3 linked regions of the Xenopus tropicalis genome follow. The protein of the gene in region 3 purifies or fractionates together with the protein of the main gene of each other region. This does not show direct contact. Links are inferred from orthologs where the notes say so. Each region holds a gene or a part of one and is shown on either strand. Other genes may lie near its edges.

Region 1 (4,805 bases), on a different chromosome or scaffold from region 3:
CCGCAAGAAAAAAAATTAAACATTTCAGCAGTTTAATCTATTCTACTGCTTTGATATCTCAGTTGGCATTAGACTATTATTCAAAGGGCATTTTATATCTTAACATAGATCTTTTCTAACTTTGATGAAGAATACAAAAAAAAACTCAACTCTTAAACCATGGCATTTTGTTTATATTTATATATAATTTATATATTAATAAACTTGCTTGATAAAGGGGTCCCCTTGCCCCAAAACATTGCACTACCACAATAAAGTTTGATTTAAAGGGCTTGTCCCGTTTACAGCCCCTGAGTGCCATTGCATCTTTTGCCAGTATGCCAACTTTTGACATGTGGGGCAGAGTTATCAAAAGGAAGGGCGCATTATTGCATATTTTTTGCATGGGTTACAATTTTGCACATGTTGCATGCACCCAGGTGTGCTGTGAGGTGGTTACAGTGTCCTTTCTTAACTGGGAATAGTAATTCATTTAAAGGGCGTAAGTCACCTCCGAAGCACTATTTTCTGTTTATAGGTTTTCAAATAGTACATCAGAAATATTTTTTAAAATGTTTTTCAATTTAAAAATTACACTTTGAAACATTTAAAAAAGTCATCTTAACAAATGCATCAAAGCCTATTTATAGTAGAGTGATTGTGTGCGCACAAGTGATTTGTGTTATGTTCCAATAAAACCAGCAGTACAACATCACAGTAAAAGAACACCTACCTCCTGCTTTGTCTGCAGCCATTCTTGAATCTTCTCTGATATAGTGTATGACTCCTTTGTGAGTAAATTCTTTTAATCCAGTCTAACAAGATGGTCCTTCAGTGTTTGCTTGTTCCAATTCTTGTTCCTGAGACAACAAGCAGAAAAAGTTCAATAACACATTTTGGCTGAAAGCAAGGTTCAGAATACTTAGGCTTTTAAATAGGAAGTTCACTTTTAGGGTAAAAAAAAAACAACAAGGTTTTTAGAAGGGCCCTTGCCTGCACCCCCCAAGGAAGGATGATGTCTACTTTCCTGTTAATACGTTCACTGATCTCAACACAAACAAGCCAATCTCTGCACCAAATAAAAACATTTGAGATGTGGGGAGCAGCTGAGAACAAACAGTTATAGTACTTGGCTCATTTGGCGATGCAACAATGATGGTGGTCTCCCTCAGACCAGTGTCAGGCAGCTTGGCAATGCATTTTAATTCAACCAAATACTAAAAACACAGTAATTATTATGAGAGTACATATAAAAAGCAGGTATGGAAGCACATGATTCACTATTGGCTTGGACCTACCACACTAGACACTTAAAAAAAAATTATAATGATGTATCAGTGACTTCCACTTCTGTATCTAATTATTCTAGAGGAATGAGTTCCCTGTCAATGCCAGCACCTTTCCCAAATCTAATTTCACCAATGCTCAAGTAACTTCACGACAGCTTGGTGCCACCACATATAGCCCTGTTGCTGACAATATAAGACACAGGGCTGATCTATTCTCTGACCCATTGCACAGATTGTGCGACTGCTGAGTATTTTCAGAGTTATGCTGCAGGCAACTAAACCAATTGCTTTACAGAAGTGTCCAATGTGCTATTCCTTTATACACATTCACTCTCCTTTACTTCAAGTAAGTGCCCAATGTGCTATTCCTTTATACACATTCACTCTCCTTTACTTCAAGCAAGTGTCCAATGTGCTATTCCCTTATACACATTCACTCTCCTTTACTTCAAGCAAGTGCCCAATGTGCTATTCCTTTATACACATTCACTCTCCTTTACTTCAAGCAAGTGCCCAATGTGCTATCCCTTTATACACATTCACTCTCCTTTACTTCAAGCAAGTGCCCAATGTGCTATCCCTTTATACACATTCACTCTCCTTTACTTCAAGCAAGTGCCCAATGTGCTATCCCTTTATACACATTCACTCTCCTTTACTTCAAGCAAGTGCCCAATGTGCTATCCCTTTATACACATTCACTCTCCTTTACTTCAAGCAAGTGTCCAATGTGCTATCCCTTTATACACATTCACTCTCCTTTACTTCAAGCAAGTGCCCAATGTGATATTCCTTTATACACATTCACTCTCCTTTACTTCAAGCAAGTGCCCAATGTGCTATCCCTTTATACACATTCACTCTCCTTTACTTCAAGCAAGTGCCCAATGTGCTATCCCTTTATACACATTCACTCTCCTTTACTTCAAGCAAGTGTCCAATGTGCTATCCCTTTATACACATTCACTCTCCTTTACTTCAAGCAAGTGCCCAATGTGCTATCCCTTTATACACATTCACTCTCCTTTACTTCAAGCAAGTGCCCAATGTGCTATTCCTTTATACACATTCACTCTCCTTTACTTCAAGCAAGTGCCCAATGTGCTATCCCTTTATACACATTCACTCTCCTTTACTTCAAGCAAGTGCCCAATGTGCTATCCCTTTATACACATTCACTCTCCTTTACTTCAAGCAAGTGCCCAATGTGCTATCCCTTTATACACATTCACTCTCTTTTACTTCAAGCAAGTGCCCAATGTGCTATCCCTTTATACACATTCACTCTGCTTTACTTCAAGCAAGTGCCCAATGTGCTATCCCTTTATACACATTCACTCTCCTTCATGTGGTGTTACTGATCAGAGTAGAGTTCTGAGGTCTAAATAAAACACAAACTAATCGTCAGTGCGGTGTCATCTCTCTCTACTACACGCTTTCTAACACCCCATCTATTTCCCCATGGCCGCCTCTAGAGGTGGGACAGTAGCCCTGGCACTGGTGGATTTTGGGTATTAAGGTGGGCCTGACCGTGTTGAGTTTACTTGAATTACCGCCCCCCATACTGTCAGTGATCTGTGGACTTGGCGAGGGCGATCGCTAGGGTGCCTGCATGTTCCTTCCCTTACACAGCATTCGCACAGCCCAACAGCCCCGAATCCCCTAACGTAGCCCGCACTCTCGAATCGCTACTTACACTTCCCACAAAATCGTTATTGAAGCGTTCTAGCCTCCAACCTCACAGAAAATCCCAAAGCCACAAATCTCATTACGCGAGATTAGCGTCACAATCACGTAAGCGCAATGACGCATGACGCAGCCGCCTTGTGGGAAGAGCAAATCGCCTTAAAGGAACAGTAACACCAAAAAATGAAAGTGTATAAAAGTAACTAAAATATAATGTGCTGCTGCCCTGCACTGGTAAAAGCTGTGTGTTTACTTCAGAAAGTCTACTATAATTTATATAAATAAGCTGCTATGTAGCCATGGGGGCAGCCATTCAAAGGAGAAAAGGCACAGGCACATAGGAGATAACAGATAAAACACTATTGTATTCTACAGAACTTATCTGTTATCTGCTATGTAACCTGTGCCTTTTCTCCTTTTTTCCAGCTTGAATGGCTGCCCCCAGGGCTACACAGCAGCTTATTATATAAATTATAGTAGTGTTACTGTAGCAAACAGACCAGTGTTACCAGTGCAGGGCAACAGTGCATTATATTTTTATTACTTTAAAGCTCTTTCATTTTTTGGTGTTACTGTTCCTTTAACTCAGTCTGTTCTGTATCAAAAGAATAAGGGTTTTCTCACTCTGTATACGTTTGTGTGAGAACGATAAAAGAAAATAAATAAAAAAAAAAGTTTCATATTTGCTTCCCACTGTGCATGCTGCCACTTGGTCTGATAATTTCTTCAAGAGAAGTACTTGTTTCCCCCTGTTACCAATAGTACCTGTCGCCTTCAGAGCCCCTTTTCCCAATTAGATCTAAACTCAAAAAGGTTTCTTGAAACTAGGATGTGAAATTGTCATCATTATTGTTTTTCTTGTTTGTCCCACGTTTAAAGAAATTGTAGGATAAAGCACTAATCATAATTAATTTCACAAATTGAACTGATTAGAGGTCCATTATTTATCTGAAGCATCTTGGGCTCTAAAGGTCCCCATACACGTTTAGATTCACTCGCTAGTATATAGTAATATAGTTATAGTATAGTAATATAGTTATATTTTTTTTTTCTGTGTCAGGCTGAGCGCAAGCATGCAAAAAAGGGGCAAAATCTGCTTTGTGTTCCTGCACTTGGCCAACACAATGGCCCCAGGTGCGGGCACAACAATAAGCTTTTGAAAGGAGACATATCCTATAAAAATTAAGAATGTACCAGTGAATTATAATCCTCTAGATATAGAAGGATTGTGTTTAAAAAGTTGTGTTTCTGACTGTTTTATTGAGAAATTCCACAAAAACCTCACTAGCCCCACCCATCTGTTCCACTTCCTGCTGGCTGAGTTCTCTGGATGTGCAGGGGAGCCGGCGGCCCTCCGTACACTGCACTGTAGGATAGGAACCAATCAGCAGCTAGGCTGACCTGATAGGGAACTGAAGCCTTTCTTTGCTTGTGTGCTCCAGGTTTAATTTTCCCGTCGGATTGGCAACTGCATTGGCTCATTGATTCAGTCCCCAGTCAGATGGCGCTTATGCCCTCTATTAGGCCCGGCTGACTTCCCCACTAGACCCTGCTGACAGCACACCACCCAACCTTCTGGCCACCACTCACCCTCCACCCTGCTGGGCCCTGCCAACAGTCCACTTTCCTACTGGGTCCAGACGATCGTGCTGTTGACCATTAAAAATATGTCTTTCATGCAATGCATTGGATGGGCACTACCCTGCCCACCGTTACAGCCTGGAAGAATCTAGTGAATGCCGTTGTTCCTCTGTACAAACTCACATACGAGAATAGGGGCGCGCCCAATAAATTCGATAAAGTTTGGGGCCCTTGGTGTGACCTGGAGGGAAACTGAAGGACTCCACTCCC
Region 2 (5,030 bases), on a different chromosome or scaffold from region 3:
TAGCATGATTTTGGAAGCCTCCCATAGGACTCAATGGCACCCTGCAGCTCCAACCCGGCCCAAGGAAAGTCTCCCATAGGGCTCAATGGCACTCTGCAGCTCCAACCTGGCCCAAGGAAAGTCTCCCATAGGGCTCAATGGCACTCTGCAGCTCCAACCTGGCCCAAGGAAAGTCTCCCATAGGGCTCAATGGCACTCTGCAGCTCCAACCTGGCCCAAGGAAAGTCTCCCATAGGGCTCAATGGCACTCTGCAGCTCCAACCTGGCCCAAGGAAAGTCTCTCATAGGGCTCAATGGCACTCTGCAGCTCCAACCCGGCCCAAGGAAAGCCTCCCATAGGGCTCAATGGCACTCTGCAGCTCCAACCCGGCCCAAGGAAAGCCTCCCATAGGGCTCAATGGCACTCTGCAGCTCCAACCTGGCCCAAGGAAAGTCTCCCATAGGGCTCAATGGCACTCTGCAGCTCCAACCCGGCCCAAGGAAAGTCTCCCATAGGGCTCAATGGCACTCTGCAGCTCCAACCCGGCCCAAGGAAAGCCTCCCATAGGGCTCAATGGCACTCTGCAGCTCCAACCTGGCCCAAGGAAAGTCTCCCATAGGGCTCAATGGCACTCTGCAGCTCCAACCTGGCCCAAGGAAAGTCACCCATAGGGCTCAATGGCACTCTGCAGCTCCAACCTGGCCCAAGGAAAGCCTCCCATAGGGCTCAATGGCACTCTGCAGCTCCAACCTGGCCCAAGCAAAGCCTCCAATAGGGCTCAATGGCACTCTGCAGCTCCAACCTGGCCCAAGGAAAGTCACCCATAGGGCTCAATGGCACTCTGCAGCTCCAACCTGGCCCAAGGAAAGTCTCCCATAGGGCTCAATGGCACTCTGCAGCTCCAACCCGGCCCAAGGAAAGCCTCCCATAGGGCTCATTGGCACTCTGCAGCTCCAACCTGGCCCAAGGAAAGTCTCCCATAGGGCTCAATGGCACTCTGCAGCTCCAACCCGGCCCAAGAAAAGTCACCATACTGAAGCTTGAATGAATCCGAATCTTTCGTACTCGGAGCGAAGGCTACGAAAAAGTTGCGACTCTTCGCACAAGTAGTAACGCTACGAAAAAAATCGCCAGATTTTGCACAACATTCGGAATGGCAACGAAAAAGTCGCAACAATTTTCCGAAAAATCGCCAAATACCGATCATTACGAAAAAAACGCAATCAGACGCATTCGGCCCGTTCGTGAGTAAGTAAATGTGCCCCTTGGTGTAGGCAAAGCGTTGCTGCTTCTTCTGCCTACCCCTAGTTCCAGCCCTGAATGCAAGGCACCCCTGCCTACAAATGTATAGGTAAAAATCAGTGGCCAGGGTCATCTAACCCTTTACATAATTAGTTACTTATTCATCAGACGGAATAAGAAACTATTACCCCCTTTGGTGCCAGTCTTCCTGCCCAGGCTTGAACAGGTTGCAGTTCAAGCATGGCAACACTGTCAATAAAAGTGGACTTTTAAATCTATGGCCCAAGATCATTTATTTATTTAAAACACCAGCTACTTATTCACCGACTGAATAAAAATCCAACTTTAACGCTGTGAAAAAGACAAAACATATTTAGAGGGCAACCAGGAAGTTAAAACGCAAAACGGGTAGGAGGGGCGTCACTGATTGGAGGAATAGGGACATGACGGAGAGATGCAAAGTTAGGGATTATCTGCAAATTAGTTTCTTACCAGACACCATACGAAACATACACCTTCTCAACTCATTCGTACTCCGTTTATACCAACTGTATATTTGTATCAGTAAGCCTGCCGCTTCATTATTTAAAAATCGGGCATTTATACTTTCTCAGGCTGGGATGCTTTGTGGTACAGAACTTTTTAATGCGCATTCCCAAAAGTTATGAAATTTGCAGACGATCCCTAATTCTGCAATCCCAACCTGCCTTTATTATTTGTTAGCCAATGACTGCTGCTGCTGCTTCCTTCCTTACGCTTCTCTGCAGGCTCCTCCCTCGTAAGCACACTGTTCCTGTTTGGGTTCGTTTCTTTATGGCAGATAGAGAGCTCTGTGCCTGCATCTTGGTGCTGCAGAGTAGCAGAGCATGAGAGAGCCAGAGTTGTGCTGTGTGCTTTAGGCGGGCAGAAAGGAAGGTGTGTATGCTATGCGATTATTATTTGTATATGTATGGCTCTTTGCACTGAGATGTTACACACAGGCACTACAATACCAATATGCAGAGTTTGCATTCGTAGAAACAAAAGGATACTGTTACGTACTGAGTAATGTCCACTCATACAGATATACAGAGTGTGGGATACAGAATGTGATGTTTATCAAGGATACCGAAATATGACTTGTTACTGATGTGATTTGGAAAGAGAGAGGCAAATATACAATTGATTGTATATTCAGACCTCTGAATAGTAAAACTCACAACCATAATAAGCATGCAGTGGCCCTCCTCCTCCTCCACCTCTTCTTCAGTTGATCTTTTATATGACTTTTGCTATATCTATTATTTTAAGTTGTGTGTGACTTATACCAAGGATAAATTCTTTACATATCAGAAAGTGTTACTGTTTTCTCTTCATTAGCCCACGGACCCTACTCCACAATCATCATGAATTTTGATGGCTTAGACCCTGCTTTGGCAGAGTATGCCCCAAGCCTGCATCCTCCTTTGGACCCAGTCCTTGATGCCCACTTGAACCCCAGCCTTTTGCAGACAGTGGAACTGGATCATGAAGCACTGGAAGGGCTCCCTGTAGCGGATCCTGTGAGCATGATGGAAGGAATGTACTCTGAGCTGCAGACAGCGGTGTCTGAGGTTGGAGTACCAGTTTCTGCTGTACACTTTGATCTTCATGAAGAGATGTTATGGGTTGGAAATCATGGGGTAAGGATTTATTTTTCTCTTGCACATTTGTATTATGTTTTCCTTTTTGTATTATCTCTTAGTATAATAGTAATGTAAAATACAGCCTTATCAGAGCTGTCAACTGGCAAAATTTCCCTGATACCCAGAAGTGATGTCACAGTCAGACTTCAGAAAAATCGGGGGATGGGAGAATGGGGAGAGCCTTTAAAAATGGATAACTCCCGAAGAAATAGGAGGGGTTGATAGCTCTGCCTTATACTTATCACTTCCTAATATCAAGATATTGGGTTTATTTCACTATTTATGCAGTCTGTCTACAGATTAACAGCCTTGCTGTACATACTGAACTGGCATCTATGTCCTCTTCATACAAGATCCATTGAAACACTCTGTAAATATATATGTGTATCTGTAGTTTTGGGCCTCTCCCTTTTACTAATGATTGTATGCTTACAGTCTAATTTAATTTCTGTAGTCTAGCCAATATCTAATTTTCATAAATATGGACTTAGATCACGCACACCACTGATCACGCCTTTATCAGCATGGGCATTTCTACTTTTCTGTTCCCAGCCTACACACCTTACCTCAAAATATTTTTGCACCAGGAAACCCATATGCATTATAAGTGAACACCTTTGCTTCAAAATATAAAGATATTTCTGTAGCCTATAAAAATTAGTGCATGACCTCTTTTGGTTCATGTCAGATCACTGACACAATAATTTGCAAGTGGGCTGTTAGCAGAGCCCCCCAGGCGGGCAGAGGGTGATATGCAAGGTTTTCATTTAAGCCTCCGCCTACATATGCAGAAAGCCCATTTTAGCATGATGCCTCACCATAACTCCATGTTTTGTATCTCTTTTCTGTAGGGCCATGCCACTTCCTTCTTTGGGCATGACCTTGAACGGTATTCCTCTTTCCAAGTACACGGCAGTAATGACATCCGTCAGATCCAGAGTCTGGAGAATGGGGTGATGTTCCTCACGAAAAATAATCTGAAATGCATGACCCGTGGGGGGCTTATAATCTTTGACTATCTGTAAGTTTGTAAATGGACACCTACTTTTTTAAATATTACTTAGTTACCTTTATTAATTTATATAACTTTAACCAAATCCACATATCCATGTCATCAAAATGTTCCTCCCCATTTTTTCTTTTCTGATGCATACTGCTGAGCTCACAATTTTCTCTGTTGCATGACCCATTAGTAATTCTTCTTTTAGAAATGAGTTTTTAAAGAACAGCTATTGTGGGGCTTCAGCCATCACTGGCATGGAAAGTTGGTGGACTCTGTGTGTGTATCCAGTGGAGTAATAATAGAGGAAGTAGACCTGCATCCTCCATTTTTCATGTAAATCCCCACTCCACGCCAGCTCCCAGTTAGGAAGTAGATGGATACAAACAAGTGCAGGAGGGGGAGGGGAACACGTTATAGCATAGGGATGATATGTAGTGATGATGGGACAGGAGGGAGGGGGGTTCATACTCTGCACCTGGCCCTTCTAAAGATTTACATTATATTTTATATGTTTGATCTAGTTATATTGATCTATATTATTTAGCTTATGTACAGTTTGGCTGTGAGGGCATATATTGACAAACACATGTTCTACCTATAAACTAGTACTTGCTCTGTGGTGTTCTCCTTTTGATACCCTAAAACAGGGGTAGGGAACCTATGGCTCGGGAGCCAGATGTGGCTCTTTTGATGGCTGCATCTGGCTTGCTGCTAAATTTTGAACAAAAAAAATAATGGGGGGGCGTGGCCTGCGCTCAGCGGATAGAAGAAGTGTTCTAAGCTTTAGAACATGTCTCCACATCGCATCCGGCATCCTTGGGACACACCCTACCTTGCCCCGCAGCATCCGCAGCCAAACATATTGTATGGCTCTCACGGAATTACATTTTAAAATATGTGGTGTTTATGGCTCTCTCAGCCAAAAAGGTTCCCGACCCCTGCCCTAAAAGGTACTGTATGTATCAACATCGCTATTTCGTATAATTTATTTCACAAGCATTATAAGAGGGTTTGGTAATTACCTGCAGGATGGATGAAAACATCGACAATCACAGTCTCCTGCTTACAGACAACAGCACTTTGCTTTTGGGAGGAATGCAGAACCATATTATTCAGATGGACCTAAATACAGTACAAGAGA
Region 3 (4,272 bases):
CCCTATCCCATTCCCATCAGCCCCTGCCCCAGTGAGCTTACAATCTAAGGGCCCTATCACATTCCCATCAGTCCCTACCCCAGTGAGCTTACAATCTAAGGGCCCTATCACATTCCCATCAGTCCCTGCCCCAGTGAGCTTACAATCTAAGGGCCCTATCCCATTCCTATCAGTCCCTGCCCCAGTGAGCTTACAATCTAAGGGCCCTATCCCATTCCTATGCTTTGTTTACCTTGCCACGTTTCATAGCACAGATATTCTGGCCCTGAGGAATGGATATATTACAAGGCAGTAGAGGTAGAGGCACTTAGTATGTGTATAGGGTGCCCAGCACTACGGGGACTGGGGGGGGCATAGTATTGAAGCATTCAGCTGACTAACATGTGCCTTTTCTTTCCCCCTGGCAGATCTCAGTCACAGTGGTTTGGGAGACCATTATGAGAATTCCCACTGGGGACTGCAGCCGTCTCTCCGAGGTGAAGCCACTTGTAGCTGGGATAAAGTGATAATAGACAGGACTGACAAGGAAGCGTGGCCTTCCATTACTGGAACTGAGAGTGAATCTGCCTCAGAATGTACTACAGACACTGACTCTGCCTCCAACTGTGGCTCAGAGAAAAGTAGCATGGCTACTAGTGCCCAAGGCAACTTCACTGGACATACAAAGAAAACAAATGGCAATAATGGCGCCAATGGAGCACTCATCCAAAGCACTTCTAACCAGAGTGCCCTTGGAGCTGGTGGGGCAAATGGTAATGGGAACTTAGCCAGAGTTTGGGGTGTCGCTCCAGGCTCCAGCTCTGGCATTGCTCACTGCCCTATTGGTGGTGGGGATGGCAAGGTGGACAACATGATTGGGGAGAGCAGGAGTCATAACTGCTGGGGCGCTTCCAACCCAAATACTGGCATTAATCTTAACCTTAACCCGAATGCCAACCCAGCTGCCTGGCCTGTACTTGGACATGAAGGGACTTTGGGAGGCGGCAGTCCTTCCAGCATTTCAAGTCCAGTCGGTGCCATTGGACAGAACATGGGCAACCAGAATGGAAACGCAGCTGGTAGTTTAGGTGCCTGGAGGAACCTGCAGTCACAAGAGAGCACAGAACCACAAACGTCCAATTCTCAGAATGTGTCTTTCAGCGTACAACCTCAGAACCTTAACACTGATGGACCAAATAACACTAACCCCATGAATTCTTCACCAAACCTTATTAATGCAATGCAGACAAATGGACTGCCAAACTGGGGGATGGCTGTCGGAATGGGGGGCATCATCCCACCCCACCTGCAAGGCCTTCCTGGTGCTAATGGTTCAGTTTCTCAAGTCAGCGGGGCGGGAGGTGACGGCACGGGCAGCTCGGTGTGGGGGTTATCGCAGGGCGGCCCGTCTGTAGGAAGCTGCGGTTCAGGGTTCAGTCAGGAAGGAGGAGATGGCAGCTCTAAACAAAATGGCTGCGCAGTTCAGAAAGATGGCAGTGGAATGAGTGCATGGGATTCAGGACCACCTAGTAGCCCCGGGGTGCTGCCTTGGGGGAGAGGCAGAGGCAGCGTAGGAGGCATGCATCCCGGACCATGGGGTCATACTGGACATAGCACAAGTAACGGTGTGAACGGTGAGTGGGGTAAGGTCCCAAACCAGCATTCCAGCAATGACATGAATGGAAAAGGACCCACAGGGTGGGACAGCCCCAGCGTTGGCATGCAGAGCACCCAGCAGGGAGGTGAGCAAATGAATTCTAGGGCCAAAGCGGTTGCATCTGTCACTGCAGCCAACGACAGATGCACCGGCGCTGGGAATGCCAATGAAGGGAAGGGAGGAGATGGTCAGCAGGGAGACCCTGGGATGGCAGAGCAGATGCCAAGACAAGATCTTGACCCGAGAGTCCTTTCCAATACCGGCTGGGGACAGGTCCCCGTCAGACAGAATATTGCATGGGAATTGGAAGAATTTCAGCGTCCCGATCATAAAAATGTTGGGACGGAGGCCTGGGGGGGTTCAAATACTCAGCCTTCAAACTCAGGGGGAAAGAGTGAAGGGTCCATCATGAACAGTACCAATACCTCTTCAGTATCGGGGTGGATGAACACCCAACCTGTGTCTGCCCCTGTAAGTGCAAGCTGGGGAGAAAAAACGCCAAATGGTCCAGGGGGGTGGGGGGAACACGCAAGCTCTACTGTTGTCAATGCTGCTGCCAAAAGTGGTCACGCTTGGAGCGCGTCCGCTAATCAGGAGGACAAGTCGCCCACCTGGAGTGAGCCTCACAAGTCCAAACCCCAAGGGTGGGCCGACGGGCAAAAATCAAATCCAAGCTGGAGTTCTACGGGCGGAGACTGGACCGACGGGCCCCCTGTTCCTCAACACATTACCGACGGAAAGAAAAACGGGACAGGGTGGGACTCCGACAGTAAGCCTGGATCTGGGTGGAACGAGAACTCGCGGCCTGGGACCAGCGGGTGGGGAAATGGCACAAACACCAAGAATAATTCCGGTACAGGCTGGGGGGAGCCCATGAAAGCTCCTCAGCAGCAAAACTGGGCCAATAAACCCCAAGAGAACAATGTGAGTGGGTGGGGAGGAGCAGCATCTGTAAAACAGAATGGATCTGTGTGGATTGGTGGACCGGTGCCAGCAACACCACCAACCAAACAAAAGGATGCTGGAGCTGATTCCACCGGCTGGCAAGAGCCTTCTCCGCCGTCTATACGCCGTAAGATGGAAATAGACGATGGTACCTCAGCTTGGGGTGACCCGAGCAATTATATTAAAACTGTAAACATGTGGGATAGGAATAATCCGGTATCTCAGAGCATCCCTGCAACAAACACCAACTCCGCCGCCACTCCCAGCACCCCTCCAAATACCAATATGGTTGAACCTCAGCCAACTCATCAGCCAAGTGCCCAGCAGAACCGATCCCCACTGCTCGGTCCAGGTAGGTTGGCCATAACCACTTGTGTATGGAGTGGAACTAATTCTTAAGCATATTCTGCTCTCGTTGTGTTTCTGCATGCTTCAGACTCAAGCTGTTGCTGAACTACAACTGCCAGACTTATACTTATACTGAATATACAAGAGGGTGGCAGGTTGGCCAGCGTTGGTAGTGCTTAGGCTTTAGGCTCGGCATCCATTGCCTTTCTGCTCATTCTGGTGCTAACTCATACAGTCTACTCCAAGTACACTCTGTCTGCAAAGGGTTAATCTCCCCCAGTTCCTACAGAAGCGCAGTAGTGGGCACCCTATCAATGTCACCTCGGGGCTGGGAAAGCGCCGGCAGGATTAGACTCAGGTAGATCTCCTTATTCACATGCTGCCTCTTTGTTCTTAGCGGCTTAGGTGTCCTATTAAAGCTGTCTAAAATTGGAGTTGAATAATAAACATGGTAAGGAAGTCCGTGCCCACGAGATCACGTTTTCGTCAATGCCAGAGGCCACATTTAACATCAGTCTTAGCAGAGACCCACCCTTGGTACCCCAGAATCCTTAGGGATCTTTAAATCCTCTCTAGGGTATTGTCTACCTGACACCTCACATCTACTTTATAGAAGTTAGAGGGATCATGTAGTAATGGGCAAAAAGGTTTAAACCAGGTCTAGTAACCCATAGCAACCAAGTATTCTTTACTAATAAATATCTGGTTATTAGCATTGAGTATGAGGGCTCTCCATCTTGTAAGCACTTCAGCTGTTTATTTAACTGCAGCTCTCAGCATCCGGTGCACTGCCTAAAGGTGCCCATACACCTTCAGACCGCTTGCTTGGGGGATATCGGATCTTCTCCCGATATCCCCCACCTACGGGGGAATTTAGGCTATTTCACAACGGGTATAGGCAAAGTCGGTCCAGGGACTGCACCAACGAGCCGATGGGGTCCCCGATCCGACTAGATTTTCTAACCTGCCCGATCGAGATTTCAGGCCAGATATCGGTCGGGCAGGCCTGTCGGTAGTGCCCATACACGGGCCGATTAGCTGCCAAATCGGTCTATGGCTGCCGATATCGGCAGCTAGAATCGGTCCGTGTATGGGCACTACCGACAGGCCTGGGATCAGGATGTAGTTCAGCAGTTGGATATGATTTGCAGGCAATGATGAGTGAGGCTAACTATATAAGGATGGCTAGGATTGGTTACAGAGTGACAGTGCTTCTATTTTGCAGGCTGGGGAGATTTGCCTAATGTTAACTCAAAGACTGAAGCCTCTTGGGGAGAGCCCCCATCCCCGTCTGCTGCTGTCGACAAAGGCACTTCGGCATGGGGGAAGCCCAAAAACAGCAC

What was found.
Region 1: the proteins of tnrc6c (region 3) and cnot10 purify together in Homo sapiens (co-immunoprecipitation; 3 studies listed by BioGRID and IntAct, with this or other methods). This does not show direct contact. The link is inferred for Xenopus tropicalis from reciprocal best matches to the Homo sapiens genes TNRC6C and CNOT10.
Region 2: the proteins of tnrc6c (region 3) and pan2 purify together in Homo sapiens (affinity purification with western blotting; 3 studies listed by BioGRID and IntAct, with this or other methods). This does not show direct contact. The link is inferred for Xenopus tropicalis from reciprocal best matches to the Homo sapiens genes TNRC6C and PAN2.

What each region holds. Positions count from the first base shown.
Region 1 is NC_030682.2:50,188,490-50,193,294, reverse strand, and holds the start of cnot10 (CCR4-NOT transcription complex subunit 10), read right to left. Parts: upstream 3,072-4,805; 5' UTR 2,965-3,071; intron 2,917-2,964; exon of another isoform or gene 2,897-2,916; intron 2,818-2,896; exon of another isoform or gene 2,799-2,817; intron 840-2,798; 5' UTR 735-839; coding exon 713-734; intron 1-712. UniProt on the Homo sapiens protein: Component of the CCR4-NOT complex which is one of the major cellular mRNA deadenylases and is linked to various cellular processes including bulk mRNA degradation, miRNA-mediated repression, translational repression during translational initiation and general transcription regulation.
Region 2 is NC_030678.2:138,019,096-138,024,125, forward strand, and holds the start of pan2 (PAN2-PAN3 deadenylation complex catalytic subunit PAN2), read left to right. Parts: upstream 1-1,959; 5' UTR 1,960-2,137; intron 2,138-2,581; 5' UTR 2,582-2,607; coding exon 2,608-2,883; intron 2,884-3,737; coding exon 3,738-3,907; intron 3,908-4,917; coding exon 4,918-5,030. UniProt on the Homo sapiens protein: Catalytic subunit of the poly(A)-nuclease (PAN) deadenylation complex, one of two cytoplasmic mRNA deadenylases involved in general and miRNA-mediated mRNA turnover.
Region 3 is NC_030686.2:45,709,701-45,713,972, reverse strand, and holds part of tnrc6c (trinucleotide repeat-containing gene 6C protein), read left to right. Parts: intron 1-407; coding exon 408-2,933; intron 2,934-4,154; coding exon 4,155-4,272. UniProt on the Homo sapiens protein: Plays a role in RNA-mediated gene silencing by micro-RNAs (miRNAs). Required for miRNA-dependent translational repression of complementary mRNAs by argonaute family proteins.